Linked DNA regions of Ovis aries. The main gene of each other region encodes a partner of the protein of the gene in region 2 in a complex. Links are inferred from orthologs where the notes say so. Each region holds a gene or a part of one and is shown on either strand. Other genes may lie near its edges.

Region 1 (10,617 bases), on a different chromosome or scaffold from region 2:
CAGCTGGACCAGGGACTGAGCTGCATAAGTCCGGTACTCAGACTTGTCGACCACCTGAAACACAGGCCCTGAGAAGCTGCCCCGCTGGTCCCCACGCAGGACAACAGAGACACAGGCCCTGAGAAGCTGCCCCGCTGGTCCCCACGCAGGACAACAGAGACACAGGCCCTGAGAAGCTGCCCCGCTGGTCCCCACGCAGGACAACAGAGACACGTGCATTGGTGGAAGCAGACGAGCGCCAAGTGCACCCCGCTCAGCAACAGTGCAAGTGTCTACATGCTACAGAAATGACTATCCAGTTCCACGCCTCAGACCTCCTGGGAAACTAGCCTAGGAGAGGTCTCCAAGCCTCAGACCTCCTGGGAAACTAGCCTAGGAGAGGTCTCCAAGCCTCAGACCTCCTGGGAAACTAGCCTAGGAGAGGTCTCCAAGCCTCAGACCTCCTGGGAAACTAGCCTAGGAGAGGTCTCCAAGCCTCAGACCTCCTGGGAAACTAGCCTAGAAGAGATCTCCAAGCCCGATTTCAGAGTTTACAGATCTCTAGGATCCACAGAGTTCAAGTGAAGCATCATCTGCCCAAATTGCTAAACATTTTAAGAGATATTCACAGAATTTTGAATGCTAACCAGACACTGGATGATATTAAGGCATTATTCTGAATTTTTTAGGTGTGTTAATATTTTGTGGATATGTTTTTAAAGAGGTCTTATGCTGTAGAGAGACACATGCAATATTTATGTCTGAAGGAGTATGATGAAATCTGCTTCCTAAGAAAATCCAGTGTGCCTATGTGCTGGCAGAGCTTTTCCTTATACAAAATCACTTAACATTCTGTTCATTACTCTGTTCTATATCTTTATATATTTGAAGATTTCTAAAAAGGAAAAAAAGTTGTTTTATCCCCCCCAAATACTCAAAGAGAACAGCAAACATACTAAACAGAAAAGACCACTCTTGGTAACGACACAGGCTCATTTCTGGGAACACTGATACATGCGTCTACTCTTGCGTGGTTTTCAGCCTCTTAACACTACAGCCAGCAGTACCTTGACACAGATGTGCTGCAGCAGAGTACGAAGGACCGGGTACATGCTTTCCTTAAGTTCATCTACCAGTACGCTTTAAAAAAGAAAAGAATCACTGTTTATAATACATCTATAATAAAAATAAAATAACAGCTTCCCCTAAACCTATTCTCAAAAACAGTGACACTTCTACATTGTAGAAAGCCTGACTACTAAGAGCAATCTGCGCCTGTGCTGGAAGCGAGGCCTGAGTGTGTGGAGTGTGAAGAGAGCGTCACAGCGGAGCACCGTTCCCCACGCCCGGGTGGTCTCCAAACTGCTCCCAGTAGCCAGTCAGGGAGGGGCAGGGCCCAGACCTCCCAAGACCCTTGGGCTGCTTACGACGGCTCTTACCAAGGCTGAAATAAGACCCCTCGTGGCTCAGCGGTAAAGAGTCCATCTCCCAGTGCAGTGCATGCAGATCCAACCCCTGACCCAGGAAGAACCCACAGGCACAGGGGCAATCGAGCCTGTGAGCCACGCCTCCTGAGCGCGTGAGGCACCTCCCCGTGCCGCAAGCCCTGAAGCCTGGGAGCCCTCGAGTCCACGCTCTGCAGCAAGACACCCACACAGGGTGATCAGAGTAGGCCCCTGTCGTCTCAGCTAGAGAGAGGCCCACGCGTGAGGCAGTTAAGCCCCAGAAGAGCCATAAATAAAGAAACAATGTTTCAAATGCGGCAAGCTTTCTCTGTGAAGAGCTTGACTTTGAAGTCAATGCCAGATTGAGACATAGTACTACCTTGTGGTAGGTCAGCAAAACGGATTTCTAACAGCACTTCTCCAAAGTTAACCCTCAAAGAAGCTATTAAAACGCCCAGACTCAACCCATCTTCAAGTTTATTCACGCCATTATAGAAATATGGCAATTACTGACATCACGAATACACGGAAAATTTAGAACAAGTGCTTCTACTCAAAACATCTTATTTGCTGTTTAAAAAAAATCCTTAAGGCTCACTCAGGGGCCAGACAGCACCTGTACCTGCATGCCAGCACCCACACCCGCACCCCACGCCCCGCACCCGCACCCCACACTGCACCAGCAACCTGCACCCCGTGCCCCGCACCCCATATCTGCACCCACAACCCACGCCCACACCCCGCACCCACGCCCGCACCTGGGCCTGCACCCTGCACGTGCGCCCGCGCCCTGCACCCACACCCTGCGCTCGCACCTGCACCCCACACCTGCGCCCGCACCCCGCGCCTGCGCCCCATGCCCCGCACCTGCGCCCCATGCCCCGCACCCCGCACCCCGCGCCTGCGCCCCATGCCCGCACCCCGCACCCCGCGCCTGCGCCCCATGCCCCGCACCCCGCGCCTGCGCCCCCATGCCCCGCACCCCGCACCCCGCGCCTGCGCCCCCATGCCCGCACCCCGCACCCCCGCGCCTGCGCCCCATGCCCCGCACCCCGCGCCTGCGGCCCATGCCCGCACCCCGCACCCCGCGCCTGCGCCCCATGCCCCGCACCCCGCACCCCGCGCCTGCGCCCCATGCCCCGCACCCCGCACCCCGCGCCTGCGCCCCATGCCCGCACCCCGCACCCCGCGCCTGCGCCCCATGCCCGCACCCCGCACCCCGCGCCTGCGCCCCATGCCCCGCACCCCGCACCCCGCGCCTGCGCCCCATGCCCCGCACCACGCACCCCGCGCCTGCGCCCCATGCCCCGCACCCCGCGCCTGCGCCCCATGCCCGCACCCCGCACCCCGCGCCTGCGCCCCATGCCCCGCACCACGCACCCCGCACCTGCACCCCATGCCTGCACCCCGCACCCCGCGCCTGCGCCCCATGCCCCGCACCACGCACCCCGCACCTGCACCCCATGCCTGCACCCCGCACCCCGCGCCTGCGCCCCATGCCCCGCACCCCGCACCTGCACCCCATGCCCCGCACCCCGCCCCCCCCGCCCGCGCCCCCATGCCCCGCACCCCGCACCTGCACCCCATGCCCCGCACCCCGCACCCCGCGCCTGCGCCCCATGCCCGCACCCCGCACCCCGCGCCTGCGCCCCATGCCCGCACCCCGCACCCCGCGCCTGCGCCCCATGCCCCGCACCACGCACCCACATCTGCGGCTGCGCCTGCACCCCGTGCCTGCCCAGGCACCGCTTCCGCTCACAGGCACGCTCTCCGCTGTCCCCACCACCTCCGTGCTGCTGTCAGACAGACAGAACCGAGGACAGAACAGCGAGTGATGTAGCGGCATCTCCTAGTAAAGCCCCGACATGGGACTTTGCAGGCAAAGCCTGCTGACTCGTGAGAAGATGAGTCTATCAATTATTGATAAAAAAGTTAAAAAAAAAAAGTGGCAAGGAACCTAAGGAAAGAGACTTAGAGGAGCCAGAAAGGCAGAGACAGACTTGGAGCAGCAGACACAGAGACCGCAGTCGGGACTCAGAGCTGGCCTCACCAGCGGGCCCACAGGCCACGAACCCCTCACCACCCCCAACAGCACCCCCTACACCACCCCTACACCACCCCCAACAGCACTGCCACACCACCCCCTACAGCACTGCCACACCACCCCCTACACCACCCCCAACAGCACCCCTACAGCACCCCTACAGCACCGCCTACACCACCCCCAACAGCACCCCTACAGCACCCCCTATACCACCCCTATAGCACCGCCTACACCACCCCCAACAGCACCTCCAACAGCACCCCTACACCACCGCCTACACCACCCCTATAGCACCCCCTACACCCCCAACAGCACCCCCTACACCACCCCCAACAGCACCCCTACACCACCCCCTACAGCACCCCCAACAGCACCTCCAACACCACCAACAGCACCCCCTACACCAACAGCACCCCTACACCACCCCTACAGCACCCCTAACAGCACCTCCAACACCACCCCCAACAGCACCCCTACATCACCCCCTACACCACCCCTACAGCACCCCCAACAACACCCCCTACACCACCCCTACAGCACCCCCTATACCACCCCCAACAACACCCCCTACAGCACCCCCAACAGCACTGCCACACCACCACCTACAGCACCCCCAACACCACCCCCAACAGCACCTCCAACACCACCCCCAACAGCACCCCCTACACCATGCCCAACAGCACCCCCTACACCACCCCTACAGCACCCCCAACAGCACCCCTACAGCACCCCCTACACCACCCCTAACAGCACCCCCTACACCATGCCCAACAGCACCCCCTACACCACCCCTACAGCACCCCCAACAGCACCCCTACAGCACCCCCTACACCACCCCAACAGCACCCCTACACCCCCAACAGCACCCCTACAGCACCCCCTACACCCCCAACAGCACCCCCTACACCCCCAACACCACCCGCTACACCACCCCCTACAGCACCTGCAACACCATCCCCTACACCACCCCTACAGCACGCCCAACAGCACCCCCTACACCACCCCTACCGCACAAGCCAGATGGGCTGCTATGCGCTTTATCCTGAACCACAAGCCACACACAGCCCAGACACGTGTCAGCTCCTCAGGTGTCAGAAGCCGCGGCTAGCACAGGGCCCAGGCTACTGAGGGCGAGTGACGGAGAGACGCGAGCTATGTGCCCTTTACCTTACAAACTGGATGGCCAGCTTCCTACTGCTGACAACCGGCGGCGTGATGGCAAGCGGGGTGTGATGGGAGCCTTTGCCCACTTCTACCATCAGTATTATGCAGAGCATTTGATGCAAAACGTATCTGAGAACCTGGAAGAGGAAAGGACATGCAGCTTAAGGCATGACAGAGAATCCCAGGGCCTTGCCAACTGTGACGCAGACCCCAGTGAGCTGTTTCAAGTGCCAGCAGGTAAAGGAGGTTGGCACAGGTTCTGGCGGACCACGAAGGGTGCGCCTGCTGCACAACGACCAGGTGTCATACCTGCACAAAACGAACAGTGCGGAGGTGCTGCCTACAGACTGATCAGCCGGATTCCACCCAGTTTCTCTGCTTGCCTTATACTCCAGCCCAGAAACCAGGGCTCGAGAATCAGCTGCAACTGAGCAAGGCCGAAGAATGCAACGGATTACCCCCCACAGGAAAGAGGAAGGGGATGATTCTCCACCTATGTTACAGCTGAAGCTTACAGAACACCTTCCCGTATATCATCTCACAGAATCTACTCAAAGGGTTAGCTTGTGCAACCAGTGAATAAAATAATTACTGGAAACCAAGGATGTGGCCGGTACTGCATTAAGCATGTCTCTGTACTACAAGATTTGACCATACTTACTCTGAAATCTCTCAACTCAATGAGGTCAGCAAAACATTTCCATTCTATACTTGATACTATTATTATCTCCACTTTATACATACCAAAAGACTTTGAAGATGAGCAGTCCCAAGTCAAGTAATCAAAGATAAGGCTACAACCACAGTCACCCAACATCAGGCCAACACTTTTGCAATGAAAAACACCCTGTCCTTAGAGACACTGCCACCTGAAAGGGTAATTTCCCATCCTCTGCACTTTCTACTCTACAATGCTAAAAAGGGCACAGAAATTAAAAGTTTTACTGTAAATGCTATCACATATTCCAGACACAGGGAAGAGATAATGACATCAAAAATTAAAGAAGGATGGGGTGTTTTCTAAACAGCAGGCATTACGCCGAGGCACTCTTCCCTGCAGTCCTCCTGAGAAATCCACAGGAAGGGAAGGCCCTCATCCTCCTTGTCCAGGTGAGGATACCAAGGACTCATGGAGGACACACAGGGCTTCTTCTGTGGCTCAGTGGTGAGGAATCCCTCTGCCAATGCAGGGGACACCGGGTCAACCCCTGGTCTGGGAGGATCCCACATGCCTCAGAGCAACTAAGCCAGTGCTCCACGAGATGCCACTGCACCGCAATCAGAGAGCAGCCCCCACTCACGGCGACTGAGAGAAAGCCTGCTCGCAGCCGCAAAGACCCAGCACAGCCAAAAATAAGTTGGAATGTTTTTTCTTTTTAAAGGGAGACACACAGCAGTGAGGCGTAGGACCCAAGTGCGGAGCCCACGTGCCCAGGGCCTCCTCACCCCGCTCCCTGGAAACCAGGGCACTGCAGGCGCTGAAGGCAAGGGCCTTGGTCTGCCATGTTTTCTGCAGACTCCTGCTGCACTAACGACATTCAGGTTCAGTAACACCCCAGGGCTCACAAAGCCCTGACCCCAGTGTCTAGGGCTGTGCGGCTCTGAAGGTCACCACAGGCAAATCCAGATATGAATGCTGACCAGGAGTGTCAGCAGAATCATCCACTAAGGCACAGACGCTAACAGGAACACAGGGGCAGAGGGGCCTGCGGGGGAGCTGTAAGGCCCCATGGCTGTCTGTCCTCCCAGAGGACTCTGGAATCATCTGCTAAAGCACAGACGCTAACAGGAACACAGGGGCACGGGGCCTGCGGGGGAGCTGCAAGGCCTGTGGCTGTCTGCCCCCCAGAGGGCTCTGGTGAGCGCTCGAGCGGCAGCCCTGCCCAGCAGCTTTCCTGCGCCTCTGCAGGCCCCGCTGGGGCCTGCTTTATGCCTGAGCTCAACAAGAGTGTCCTGCGGCACCAGGGGCCTGGGTATGAGCCTGTAGCGAGCAGCGGCCACCACGTGCTGACGGGCGCTTCTCATCACAGACACCAACGACCCAGCGAGTTCACACAGCATCGCACTGAGTCCTTGCAGCACTTCTAGTCACACGACCCGTGTGCTTTCAATTCCCTGTAACTCAGCTCCTGTCTCCTTTACCGTGTCTCCTTCTCTGTGAAGAGGGGAACAAAGCAGATACAGTCCATGGTAGGCCAGTTCTGGTATATACTTCATTTCTCTGAGAACTCTAAAAAAAAAGGCAAAAGATTAGTTAATGGATGTGATTTCACTAGGATAAACTCCTAACCCTATCAGCCTTATTTAAATGAATGAATTCTACCTGTGTGCCAATCAGGATAGAATGACATTCACACCTCTGCTGCAGCGAAACATCTCACCATAATTAAACGTTAGCACCGGGGGATTTAATTGCTCACCTGGCTTGTGTAACCTGGAACTCGTAACGAACTGGTTCAAAACTAGTTAACGCAACAAAGACCTGGAAAACAGACACCAAGAAAAGGCCTGATTTTTCCCACTCTCTTTGAACTTGCCCAAGGTCCCTGGCATTCTCACTTACCTCCACACAATTCTGTATACACTCTGGCTTTTCCTTTAAGGAGAATTTAGAAAGAAGCCTTATAAAGTTCTTCAAAACTTGAAAGAGGACATTTCGAATCTGACGACGATCTTCAGAAGAATAAAAAACACCCTCTTCATCCTCTTCTTCTTGAGTAGTTTCATCCATCTAGATTATGCGGAAACACACAGCCGACTGCAGCACTGCCTCGCAGCCTGTCCGAGGTTTGCAATGTCCCTGAGTCAAGGCCAGTGGACTCTAGGGGGCCTCCCTGGGCCCCATGGCTTCAAGCTCAGTCTGGACCACATGAAGGCTACCACAGCTTCTGGGTCCGGATTTTCACATCAGTGAGACTGCCTGGGTTTCTTACCAGTTCTGGTGTCAACGAACCTCTACCCAGTCACACAAGAATTTGGAATTAATGCTATTCTATTATGTTCTTGTGGACATGAGTCCTCTGGACACTTCAACCATGGTCTCTAATGAAAATAAGGTAACACCTGCTGGCCTGCGGCGAGGCACACCTGGGAACAGACTGGAGGGAGGCAACAGGGAGGTTGGAAGACGGCACGGGGAACAGAGGCTCAGCAGGCCACGAGGCCACGCCTAGGGGAGGGAAGGCGGACAGCACGCTAGAGCTTTGGTATAATCATGACCCCCGACATCCTAACTTGATATAAATCCTTACACGAGTCAGACGCGCTTCCTGGCCACACCCCCGCTTACCTCCACCTCCTCTCTCCTGTGGGGTCTTGCCCTCTTACTGCTCTCCTGCGAGTTGCCCTGAGTGTTCTTTGGTTGCTCTTTCTTTCTTTTCTGATTCAAGCTGGATTCCTGAGGCCAGCACTTCTTTAGAATCTGAATGCATTTGTCAAATATCACTGGATGGAAAACTTGATTGACTACGCTGCCTATTTGTAAAGAATAAAGAGTAAGCAAGGTAGGTTTAATTGCTTTGAAATATATCTGCTACAACAATGAAATATTTAAAAACAAACGCAGGCTTTTCCTTAACTAACAGGAACCTTTAGCAAAAAAGTTTAATTCAACTTCCACCCTAGGCAACGAGCAGTCAGTTCAGTTCAGTCGCTCAGTTGTGTCCGACTCTTTGCAACCCCACGGACTGTGGCACGCCAGGCCTCCCTGTCTATCACCAACTGCTGGAACTTGCTCAAACTCATGTCCATCAAGTTGGTGATGCCATCTGACCATCTCATCCTCTGTCATCCCCTTCTCCTCCTGCCTGCAATCTATCCCGGCATCAGGGTCTTTTCAAATCAGTCAGCTCTTTGCATCAGGTGGCCAAAGTATTGGCATTTCAGCATCAGTCCTTCCAATGAATATTCAGGACTGATCTCCTTTAGGATGGACTGGTTGGATCTCCTTGCAGTCCAAGGGACTCTCAAGAGTCTTCTGCAACACCACAGTTCAAAAGCATCAATTCCTCAGTGCTCAGCTTTCATTATAGTCCCAACTCTCACATCCATACATGACTACTGGGAAAACCACAGCTATGACTAGACGGATCTTTGTCAGCAGAGTAATGTCTCTGCTTTTTAATATGCTGTCTAAGTTGGTCATAGCTTTTCTTCCAATTCTCAGATCATAGGAGTAGGTCCCTAACATTTACTACAAAGGCACCGACATAAGCAATTACAAGCAGCAGGTTGACTGACCCTGATTTTCTCTCTGGTGGACTCGCAGTCCCACAGCTGCAGCTGACTCCTCAGCCGCACCGTCTCCTGCCCTGGGCTCGGGGCGGGTCCCGCCTGGACGAGGTGGGGCACCATCCCAGACACACTCCTCCCTGGGCTCCCTCACTGTGACTAGCTGTGCTCAGCCCTGCAGGTGAGGACAGCCCACCGACCGTCCACACGACACAGCGGGAAGAGCAGCAGCCCTCCAACCAGCACTGTTCTCAGGCTGGACAGGAGTGAGAAGGCAGGGACACCACGAAGGCACGGGGCACGCCCCTCCAGCCTTACCCCTCTGGGACTGTGTGCTGGGTTACAGACTTAGCACGGTAACATCCGAAGCCACATTTACAGGAAAACAGGGGAGCTTTCTGAACACCTGTGACAGACCATGGGCTTCACAGATTCACTGTCACCTAACCTCCCAGCAAGGACAAAGCATTGATGTAACAGTTCAAAACCAAGCAGACAAATTACAAACAGAAGGCCTGCCCCATCACACCAAACGTGCATACCTGGTACTTCCAACAGCAGAAAATACAGCCCGGCGGCGTGAAGGCCAAATTCCTGCTGCTGAGCACTGACATTTTTCTTAAGGGCCTTATAAACGAAGTGGTGAAACAAGGCCATCAGCGCATTGTGGGAAATTCTGTTCTCCACGAAGAAGGTCCAAATGCTCTAGGGGAGGGCAAACGGTAAGCACCAGTCGTTAGAGCGCTGTGAGAGTCTCCTCTTGCTGTTTCTGATTCTTCTGAGTGCTTAGTGCCCTATAAAAAAACGAACAGACCATTCTGCCTCCTAATTATAAACGTCTGCCATTTTCAAAGGGACTAAAACAGAACATTTAAAAGTGTATTATTCAAAATTTACAAAGTTGAGGAGTTTCCTGGTGGTCCAGTGGTTAGGACTCCATGCCTTCACTGGGGAGAGTCTGGGTTCCATTACTGGTTTGGAACTAAGATCCCACAAGCTGAGTGGCTCAGCCAATAAAAGAAAAAGTAAACGAAAATCACAAAGATAAGAAACTATACAAGAATCTTAATTAAACTTGCAAAATAACTTTGGGTAAGTTTGAAGCGTATGTATTTCTGAAATTACTACACCTGAAAGCTACACTAAGACTCTGGGGACACCTCTGTCAGTGATTACTCAGACAAGTCACCCCTCCATCTATGTTAAATGTATCTCAATCCATTTATTACTCTAATTACTAACTAAAAAAATCAGAGCAACTTTTTTTAAGTCAAAATGTTTTGTGGGCAATGGGAGCAGGAGAGGAAAACCTGTGAGTGTCTCGCTCAACAGACTGCAGAAACAGCCTCGGTAGGAGAGGAAGTAAGCCTTAGACCACAAACCATATTTTCATTACTTTGATCACTATTCACGCTTTCCCCTCTTATAGACATGAGGAGGAAATAGCTTATTTGAGTAAAGCAAACAGTAGGAGCGAAATATGGCTCACTATGGGCCACCTTAAAAAACAGAAGCCCACAGAAGCTCAAGAAATCAGACCTCGACAACCTCTTTCCTTCACCACGAAGCTTGTGGAAGAAAGCAGTTACATCTTCATTTCTAAGGCCACCTCAGCTCCCCTCCCGCTGCCTGGAACTGTGACCCTGGGGGACCCAATCACCTTGGAAGCATTTCATACCTGACAAAGACCCAGTTCACAAAACTCTATTAACTCTATTTGAAAAGAGTCCCCAGTTTTTAGCCCTCCACCCCAAT
Region 2 (10,617 bases):
TACAGTCGTGAATGGGATTGTTTTCTGTATAGAAACAACAGATTTTTGTAATTGATTTTGTATTCTGCAGCTCTGTTGACTTGCTTATTATTTCTAACATCTTTTTGATGGAGTCTTTACAGTTTTCTATTTATAATAGGGTTTTCTGTTTTGTCGTCTACAAATAATGACAGTTTTACTTCTTTCTTTCCTATTTGGATGCCCTTCTTTTCCTTGCCCTGTTGCTGTAGCACTTCCAACACTTTGTTGAATAAAAGTGGTGTGGCATCCTTATCTTTTTTTTGGTCTTAGAGGAAATGCTTTCAGCTTTTTACCATTGAGTATCAGAAACACTGGGCTGGAAGAAGCACAAGCTGGAATCAAGATTGCTGGGAGAAATATCAATAACCTCAGATATGCAGATGACACCACCCTTATGGCAGAAAGTGAAGAGGAACTAAAGAGCCTCTTGATGAAAGTGAAAGAGGAAAGTGAACAAGTTGGCTTAAAGCTCAACATTCAGAAAATGAAGATAATGGCATCCAGTCCCATCACTTCATGGGAAATAGATGGGGAAACAGTGGAAACAGTGTCAGACTTTATTTTGGGGGGCTCCAAAATCACTGCAGATGGTGATTGCAGCCATGAAATTAAAAGACACTTACTCCTTGGAAGGAACGTTATGACCAACCTAGATAGCATATTGAAAAGCAGAGACATTACTTTGTTGACTAAGGTCCATTTAGTCAAGGCTATGGTTTTTCCAGTAGTCATGTATGAATGTGAGAGTTGGACTGTGAAGAAAGCTGAGTGCCGAAGAATTGATGCTTTTGAACTGTGGTGTTGGAGAAGACTCTTGAGAGTCCCTTCTACTGCTAGGAGATCCAACCAGTCCATTCTGAAGAAGATCAGCCCTGAGATTTCTTTGGAAGGAATGATGCTAAAGCTGAACTCTAGTACTTTGGCCACCTCATGTGAAGAGTTGACTCATTGGAAAAGACTGATACTGGGAGGGACTGGAGGCAGGAGGAGAAGGGGATGACAGAGGATGAGATGGCTGGATGGCATCACCGACTCAATGGACATGAGTCTGAGTGAACTCCAGGAGTTGGTGATGGACAGGGAGGCCTGGCGTGCTGCGATCCATGGGGTCGCGAAGAGTCGGACACGACTGAGTGACTGAACTGAACTGAAAACATCAATGTATCCCTGGAGTAAATCCCACCTAGTCATGGTGTATGATTCAGTGTGTTCTTGAATTCAGTTTGCTGATGTTTTGTTGAGGATTTTTACATTTATGTTCATCAGGGATGACAGCCTGTGATTTTTTTTGCTTATGGTTTCTTTGTCTGGTTTTGATATCAGGATGATGATGGCTTCACAAAATGCATTTGAAAGAATTTTCTTTTTGTCTGATTTTTGGAAGAATTTGAAAAGGAAAGATTAGTATTAACTCTTTAAATGTTTGATTTAATTCAACTGGACTTTTGTTTGTTGGGAGGTTTTTGATTCCTTATTAAATTTCCATATTACTGTCTTTTCACATTTTCTATGTCATCATGATTTAATCTTGTTAGGTTGTCTTTTTCTAGGGATTTATTTCTTATGGGTTGTCTGATTTGTTGGTGTGAAATTTTTCATAGTTACCTTTTATGATTCCTTATATTTCTGCGGTATCAGTTGCAGTATCTTTTATTTCTGACTTTGAGTCTCTTTTTTTCCCCTTAGGTCTAGCTGGAAGGTTATTGGTTTTAAAGAGCCAGCTTTTAATTTCATGGATTCTTTTTTCTATTTCTTTTTAGTCTCAATTTCATTTATTTCCACACTGATCTTTATTATTTGCTTCCTTCTACTAACTTTGGGTTTTGTTTTTTCTTCTTTTTGATGCAATTCTAAATGGGACTGTTTAGTATATAGAAACACAACAGATTTTTGGTGTAAAGTTGTTTGAGATTTTTCTTTATTTCTTTAGGTTGGCATTTGTTGCTATGAACTTAACTCCTCGAACTGATTTTGCTACATCTAATGTACATTTGGTTTGTTGTATTTCTGTTTATCTTTGTGTTGGGTATTTTTAAAATTTCTCTTTTGATTTCTAGAATGATATTCTACAGTGAAAACTAGTATAGGAAATTGTATAATCTTGGCTTTCAAGGTTATGTTTGTACCTAGTCCTAACACTTAACAGTGTATGTTGATTGTGAGCATAACATGCTCATTCTATCTTACTTTATTTTTTTAATGTCTAAATTCAGAGGTAATATGTTTCCTATGCTTCGTCCTAAGTATAGTCTCACAATATTTCTCCACTTTAATAAGAGTTTCCTTGAATAAAAATAAGTGAGCAAGGAACACTAAGTTAAGCTTTTTTATGGGGTTAATTAAAAGTATTCTTATAACTAAAATAAAAGTACCATAGTTATGTGCTCAGTTCTGGTTTTATAAAGCATATGGTATATAAAACGGTCTGTGATCTTTTTATAAGTTAAATTGTAGATAAAGTTTATGTTACTCAATTTCATGTGATTGGAAATAATTTCTTTACAGAATTTAGATAATTCAAGTATGGCTCTAAGGTATGACCTGTGTTTTCAACATACTATTTCTAGGATAAAGTTAGAACAGTTAATTTTTTTTAAACTCTTGACTCCAACTTTCTATACCTTTTCTTCTCTTAAAAGTTGAATTTGTAAGCCCTTTTCTGTAGCTGTTACTAGTTGGAAGATCTCATTTAGTTGTATTTGCCTGCTTTATAATGCAGAGGAAAGTGAGGAGACCTTAAAAAACACCAAAGAAATTCAGAAAAAAGCTGAAGAAAAATATGAGGTGTTGGAGAATAAAATGAAAAATGCTGAAGCTGAAAGAGAGAAAGAACTGAAGGATGCACAGAAAAAACTAGATTGTGCCAGAACTAAAGCAGATGCTTCTAGCAAAAAAATGAAAGAAAAACAACAGGTAATTTTTTTTAATAGAATTAATCTTTTAACATCAGCGTAGAACTGAAGGGTGGTAGAGCACCATTGGTTGACATGGCCTTCTTCATCGATATGTGTCACAAATCAAAAAGTGAGAGACAAAGTTGCTTGATAAAGGTTTGATTTTGATAATGTTTCATTCAGGAGTGGACCAAAGCTTGTATCATGTAAGCCAAGCTGTGTCTTATCAGAGAATCACTGTTGACGTTTCTGTTTGGTGATCATCTGTTTGAACAGACACTGTGAAGGAATAATGATGGCAAAGCATGTTATATTTGCAGTGCTATTCAGTTGTAGACTATTTTGGATAGTTTCAAGGCTGGAATTTGAACCTATGTTTTTCTGTTTACAAAGAAGGCTACATGCTCAATCACTATTCTATACAATTTCACTATTGAATACAGTTTCACTTAAATCTAACTTTGCTTCACAGTTCTTTTTAAACCCACCTTATGATTCTACTATTAAATATTTAGCTTTATACAAAGCATTTTGTAAAGAACTAAAGGCTATAATGGGAAAGAAGAGAAGCTATTTTTTTTTGTCATTAAATAATTGTTTAAAAAAGGTTTTTAACCTCTCCTAATTTATCTGCTATATAGAATTCTGTATTATTTTTCTCTATAGGAATAAAAGGATGAAATAGTTTATGCAGAGTTCTTTGAACCCATAAAAATTGTATGTACATTTTTTAATATAGAAAAATAAATTCATTTTCCCTTTTTCTTCTTTGGAAGCAGCTTACATGTTTTCAGTAATTGAGTAAGCTATGGTCCTTACTTGCTTAAGTATCTTATTAGTTTTGCTGAAGTGAAGTCGCTCAGTCATGTCCGACTCATTGTGACCCAATGGACTGTAGCCTACTGGGCTCCTCTGTCCATGGGATTTTCCAGGCAAGAATACTGGAGTGGGTTGCCATTTCTTTCTCCAGGGGAACTTCCCAACCCAGGGATCTAACCTGGGTCTCCCGCATTGTAGGCAGACGCTTTACTGTCTGAGCCACAGTAGTTGGTAACTATTGAATGCCCAGATGCTGTGTTTTTTATAGGAAGTTGAAGCTATCACCCTGGAGCTGGAGGAGCTCAAGAGAGAGCATGCATCCTATGAACAACAGCTTGAAGCTGTAAAGGAAGCTATCATATCCTACGAGGGTCAGATTGCAGTAATGGCCTCTGAGGTGGCTAAAAATGAGGTGAGAGTGATTTAACCACATTAGAGAAATACAGATATCAGTCTGCTTCTGAAATGGTGGCTTAAAGATGTTTGACTTCAGAGGTCTCAGTCTCTTCACCCCTGTCATGATGAGAGGGAAAATGATGACTACCAATCAGAAAGAGTCCTGAAATAATATCACTAATTGTTTTAGTCCAGGTCTATTGGAAAATGAAAACACCCAGTAATTTGACCAGGCCGAGTTTAAATAAAAATTATTAACTATAACAGGAATTTGGAATGATGTATGACTGGATTGCTAAGGGGTAGAGAAAACTCTAAAGAATGAATAGCAGATATAGGAGCAGTTATTACCTATAAGCTGAAGCAGTGCACCCCCAGAAGGAACAAATCTGGAAAAGAGCCCCATTCTACCTGCAAGGCTGATAACTACATGTAGTTGGAAAACACATTATTGTGGCCCTCTGGTGGTGGGGTTTGGTGTAGTAGGGAAACCATGCTGAGCAAAGTGCTGCACAGGACATCTGCTGGGAAAACAGCTTTCTGGGACACCAGGGGGACTGGCCACAGGGAGGTGCCCAGCCTGTGAACAGGCTGCAAAGACTGCTGCTGGGTATGCCATGTAAGTGACAACCTTGCCTTTGAGAAAAGCACATCAGAACCAAGAAGTGAAGCCCCTTCCTTCTCCAGTGTCCCTAAAGCATCCTTTACTGATGAGGCTTCATATTGTTACACTCGGCAAGGGAGAGTTGTTCCCATCTCAGAAGCAGGCAGTGAAGGGTGGATTTGGGGTACGAGGTTTCATGTTGTGAAGATATTTCTATTTCCTGCAAATATTAGAAATGCTCCCTCATGAATATTGGATACCCTCTTGACCCTTTCTTTGATTTTGACCTTGAATTCTGTTTTGTTTCATTATTTCTACTCATACTTTTTAAAACTCAGATTTAATTGGCATAACATTTATATTGGTTTCAGGTGTACAATATAATGGTTCAACATTTTAATATATTGTGAAATGATCACCCCATAGCAGGTTTTTTTCTTGTGATGAGAACTTTTTAAGATGTGCTGTCTTAGCAACTTTGAAATACATAGTAGTAGTTATTATTACTACTGTCACCATGCCCTACAAAGTGTAACCACCTTTGGTTTTTTGATACACCTTTTTGTTGTTGTTGTTAGTTTTCTGTTCTGTTGCAGTTATGTACTTTTTGTAGGTCATGTTAACTAAAATGTAATAGCTTCTAACAGGGGCATTCCATCCATTTACCTAGGATATAGTAAAGTGTGTTTTTTTTGCCTTTTGTCCTCTACTTTTACATTTCCTGTTACATTTTTTCCTTGAGATGATTGTTTTAATTGCTGTAGTGTGCATTGTTTTAGAAAGTAGTTCTTTTCTCTTCTATTTGTGGTTAAACTCAAGGGTTTTTTTTAACACATTATCAAATCAATAGCAGAACAATTTTTTAACTATCTTTTTGAATCAGGGTTCAAAATGCTTTTCAGCTTTGTGTTTTGTCTTGCTGATTACCTTTTCTACAGTTTCTTTTCTGCCTTCTGACTTGCCTTTTTGTCTCATTCCTCCATATCTTCTACCATCTTTCATGGACGTCATGTTGTGGAATTTTTTTTAAAATTAGATGTCATATTTTTAAAGAGAAATGTGGAAGTAAAATAAGTCACTTCTTCCTTGATCTAAATAATGATAAAATCAAAAGCATATACATATTTCGATAAAGAGAATATCTATTTTTCTATGGAAAACTATAAAATGTATCTCTAAGTTTGTAAATGTTGTTCTTTTAGTCTCTATATTCTAAATTGTTTCTGTTTGCCCTCTTAGGGAGCTAAGAAGATAAATTGCCTTCAAATTAATTATGTTCAAACGAAACTAAAAACTTTGGCTCAATCTGAAGTGATAGATATCCTTGTTTTTCTCTTAACCATTGTAGATTGAAACAGTTACACCTATGACACCATCTTCAGTCTTTAGGTGTGAGAGAATCAGCTTAATAAACATGTTTTTGTCATGCGCTTTTGTTTTGGATTTTTTAGATGAATGCTGAGATTTAACTTCCTCCTGCAAAGGACCTTTTATGACACAAACATTATAAAGAAATTACTTATGTCATGTTCAATAACTTAACCATAATGTCAGGTATTGTTTATCGCTCAAAATTATCTTGTTTTCTAATGAGCATGCCTTAAAAAATTCCTAAATTTTTACTGACGCTTATCGTCACTTCAAGATATCTATTCTTCCTCAGTCTTTTAGCAAGTTGTTCTACTCTTTGTTTTTCCCTACCTAAATCTGAATTGAGCTAGGTTCTTTTTTTTCAGATGTTTGTGTGAGTTTGTGACCATATCTTTACCAGAAAGACCTTTAAGATCTAGCAAAGAACTTTCATGGGGAGGAGGTGAGAGTTGGTAGACTAAATCCCAGCTGTAATTTTCACTTCGGAGACAAACCGATGATACTAAAAGAGTGAGAAGTTTTTCTTTGTGCCACAGATATGTTTCTTCAAAAAGTTTCTCTTCCTCTTCCATATCTCTGTTTTAACCCCTGTGCTAGAACTAAACACCCTGACCTTTTGTTGCCACTGTCAGAGGCCTTATGGCTTACTTCTGTAGAAGGGAAAGGAACCAATGCCAGCTTACCTTACTTCCACCTCCATTCTTTGCCTTCATAATAAATGGCATTTGGGGGTCTGTCATATTATTTTGTAACCACCACCAGAATCCCACTCTTTTGAGAGACCGTACAGGGCAAATCCCAGTAACCCCTCCTCCACCTAGGTGATCCCAGTTTTACTGTGTCACAGGAACTTTGTTGCTTCCAGCATGAACAATGCATCGCATCCCTTTTTCCGTAGTGGTAATACAAGTTTTATTTGTAAATGTGTTAGTCATTTTCATGGGGATATAAAATGTAGAAGGTTAGATGACACATTGCCTGTGTCACATAGAAGTCTGTTGGATGATCTTTCAGTAAACCAAAAAATGTCTCCATCTTACCTTGCTGTATGTTATCTTGTAATTATTCATTGCAGGAGTTAGTAAACAAAGCTCAGGAAGAGGTGACCAAGCAAAAAGAAGTGATAACAGCCCAAGACAACATAATTAAAGCTAAATATGCAGAAGTAGCAAAACACAAGGAGCAAAACAATGACTCTCAGCTTAAAATTAAGGAACTGGACCATAACATCAGCAAACATAAACGGGAAGCTGAAGATGCTGCTGCAAAGGCATGTTTGTATTGTTCACTTTTATTTTTAATCAAATTTTTGCCTCTGGGTTTTTGAAATGTTCTGGTAAAGTGCTCAGTGAAGAACTTAACTGTAAATGGCAGAACTACTGTGTAACAATTTTGAGGCATGCAACTATGACTGCTTCTCAGCAGTCACCAAATGGCAAAAATGTTTTATTTTTAAATTTAATCTCAGGGGCTTTATTCCCATCTCCAAGATGTTTTTAACCAAATATTGAATGGCCTCCCATGGAAATGACTGTTTTTTTTAATCCCCAGTTGTTCATAGAACTAATTACTAATGTATTAATAGTAGTAATATGTATTCTTTACCTAATTGCAAATTGAATTTAGGGAACTCACAGAGAAGTATCCACAAGGTACTTCTGAAGTAAGGACTTAGTTGGTTTAGGATATCCTTATGAGGGTTAGTATAGTCAATGTTCGAAGTCTCATTTGAAATCTGACATTTTGCCAGGCAGTGTCTTTGAAGTTATCCCACAGTTTATTGGTCACTCTTAATTAAAATTTCTTTCATGTATCACAGTAACCTAAGTACTTTAAAGAAAATACATAGTTTTGCAGGAATTCATTGCTTAGTTAGGAGGCTTCATTTATGTGGTTTTAATAATTCACTCATCATGTTTTCTTACTGGTGTGTAACAGTTTGGTGCCTTTTAAATCTTTTTTAGCATCATAAAAGTACAAGAGATTTAATTTCAAAAAGATGAGAACATACAAAACAGTCTTCCACCCTTTTCTGCAAGAGCCATGATTGCCTGTTCAGGTTCATTACTTTGTTTAAAAAGCATTTTTTTAATGACCACATGATAATATCCTAATATTTTATTAGTATTGATTTCCCATTTGCCTAGTAGCCTAGTATTAGTGGATTCACTGAACTATTACCAATGCTAATATTACTGTTAATAGGTTTTTTTAAAAATATAATTGACAATACTAGTATTGGTGGTTGCTAGGGGATTCTATTTACAGTTAAGTGAAGAGGGTACAAAGAGCGACTTGCAAGCAGAACTGCTAAAAAGTCAAGTATTCTTTAAAATACATAGTTTATCAAATATTTATTGTATACTTGTACCAGGCACTGACTTCCCTGGTGGTGCAGATGGTAAAGTATCTGCCTACAATGCAGGAGACCTGGGTTTGATCCCTGGGTCGGGAAGATCCCCTGGAGAAAGAAATGGCAACCCACTCCAGTACTCTTGCCTGGAAAATCCCATGGATGGAGGAGCCTGGTAGGCTACAGTCCATGGGGTCGCAAAGAGTCGGACACAACTGAGTGACTTCACTTTCACTTTACCAGGCACTAAAGATACAAGAATGAGCAACATGCCACAGAATGTGTTCATGGTGCTCACAGATGAGCAGGAAAAAAAGATAGACTAGAAATGACCATATTACTTTGAAGTCTGGTGGTGTGACTGTACTCATGGGATTAATAAGGATGATTGACAAGGATTAGCTTTCAGCAGTCAGTACCAATCTTAAACAGTTATAGTAGAAGAAAGTCTTCTTAAGCACTATAATTAAAAATCCTTAATGGTTATATTACATGAGTATTTTACTGTGCCTTGTCAATGAGGGTAGCAAGGGGATGGAGTCAATATTTAAGATAATGTTTTACTTAGATTATAATTTCAAGAATTATTAGGTACCAATCACGATTAGGCTTTCATGATTTTACAGTATCTATGACTTAAATATTCATATAAGACTAAACTTTCACAAGTTGTTTTTTTGAAGTAATACGTTGAATTTGGTAAAATCTGGAGCCTCATCTCATTATAATGGCAATGTTTACACACATACACACACCCGCATACACTTAACTGTTTCTCTGAGTTCACATTTATTTTGATGCTTAAGTAATATCTTTTTCTATTTTTTGTAGCCTATCCTCTAGATAAAAATATTCATACTTCTTACAGGTTCACAGTCAACAATGAGTCTCATTTTTTTTTCAAATGAGTCATTGTGGGATTTTCCTAAAAAATGTTTGTAAAAATTAGTAAATACTTAAGAAACTAATTTTTAAATATAGGTTTATGAGCAATGATATCATTCTATTATCATCTTTTGGCTAGGTATCCAAAATGTTGAAAGACTATGACTGGATTACTGTAGAAAAACACCTCTTTGGGCAACCCAATAGCACCTATGATTTCAAAGCTAACAACCCAAAAGAAGCTGGTGAGAGACTTCAGAAGTTGCAAGAAATGAAGGAGAAACTGGGAAGAAATGTCAACATGAGAGCCATGAATGTGCTGACTGAAGCTGAAGAGCGTGTAAGTCACTTTGCTCTGCCTGTGGCCGCTGCAAAACATGAGTAGCCTTGGTGGATTTTATGACCCCTGGCGTGTGTGCGCTCAGTCTGCAGCCCATGGACTGTAGCCCGCCAGGCTCCTCTGTCCTCGGGATTCTCCAGGAAAGAATACTGGAGTGGGTTGCCATTTGTGTCTCCAGCAGATATGACCCTTGAGACAATTATTAGAGTCAGTCTAATAATTTAGGCTTAAATTTTAGATTTAAAATCTTTGCTTTATGCTTTTGAAAATTTGTTTTGTGTTTTCCTTTTCTTCCTTTTCGGTTATTTCTTTTCTTATTTCATTCTTTTTGTTTCATCAGTTACCTGTTCTGCTGTGCTTAAATGACTTTTCCACTGGCTTTTGCTTTTGCTGTGAACATGTTCAACCCCTCTCTTATTTTTGGTTTAAATAAAAACACTTTCGATCTTGTTAACTCCTCACATTTTTACCATTTCTTTCACTTGTCTTTTTGAAAGGCTTTGAAGAAGACTCTACAGATTTTCCCCACTATCCAAAAAGTAGGGCATTCCTTTGAAACCCTTCCTATGCCGAAATGGTATAAAGCAAAAAAGCAATTACCGTAGGGCCCGTCTTGCTAACAGATGCACAGAGCAAACTGAAATAAAGCACAGATGCTTATAGACACAGTTCAAAGCTCTGGGAGGAGGTTTGATGCTGAGATGCTCAGTGTTGTTCCCATGAGGAGCTTGATGGTGCCACTCTCACTGCTTAGGGTGTGTCCTGCTTCTGTAAGAAATGGCTCACTGCAGCACACATGCTGAACGTTATTTGTGCTTTTTACCGTTTCTTGTAAAAGCAGTGATACAAAGTGAACTTTGAAAAAGTGAGAGAATACCTGTCTGTTCTAACCAGTGTCTTCCTTTGATTCAGTGTATTGCAAGAACCATTACAT

Evidence for each region. The genes of interacting proteins can lie anywhere in the genome.
Region 1: the proteins of SMC2 (region 2) and NCAPD3 are in contact, whole or in part, in a cryo-EM structure (PDB 9F5W), measured with the Homo sapiens proteins. The link is inferred for Ovis aries from reciprocal best matches to the Homo sapiens genes SMC2 and NCAPD3. Residues at the interface, in NP_001036015.1 of Homo sapiens: Arg112, Ala122, Asn123, Asn124, Thr125, Arg126, Leu218, Lys222, Arg225, His229, Trp940, Asn942, Ala943, Glu944, Phe948, Arg981, Met985, Arg986; in NP_056076.1 of Homo sapiens: Asp31, Met72, Ile80, Pro127, Gly128, Ala131, Phe135, Pro137, Asp141, Lys235, Gln237, Gln240, Leu1121, Asn1196, Asn1200, Pro1203.

The regions. Positions count from the first base shown.
Region 1 is NC_056068.1:82,059,799-82,070,415, forward strand, and holds part of NCAPD3 (condensin-2 complex subunit D3), read right to left. Parts: intron 9,657-10,617; exon of another isoform or gene 9,568-9,656; coding exon 9,405-9,567; intron 8,107-9,404; coding exon 7,922-8,106; intron 7,364-7,921; coding exon 7,196-7,363; intron 7,115-7,195; coding exon 7,053-7,114; intron 6,863-7,052; coding exon 6,775-6,862; intron 4,770-6,774; coding exon 4,636-4,769; intron 1,120-4,635; coding exon 1,047-1,119; intron 55-1,046; coding exon 1-54.
Region 2 is NC_056055.1:18,960,395-18,971,011, reverse strand, and holds part of SMC2 (structural maintenance of chromosomes protein 2), read left to right. Parts: intron 1-2,740; coding exon 2,741-2,934; intron 2,935-4,002; coding exon 4,003-4,146; intron 4,147-7,180; coding exon 7,181-7,375; intron 7,376-9,482; coding exon 9,483-9,683; intron 9,684-10,617. UniProt on the Homo sapiens protein: Central component of the condensin complex, a complex required for conversion of interphase chromatin into mitotic-like condense chromosomes.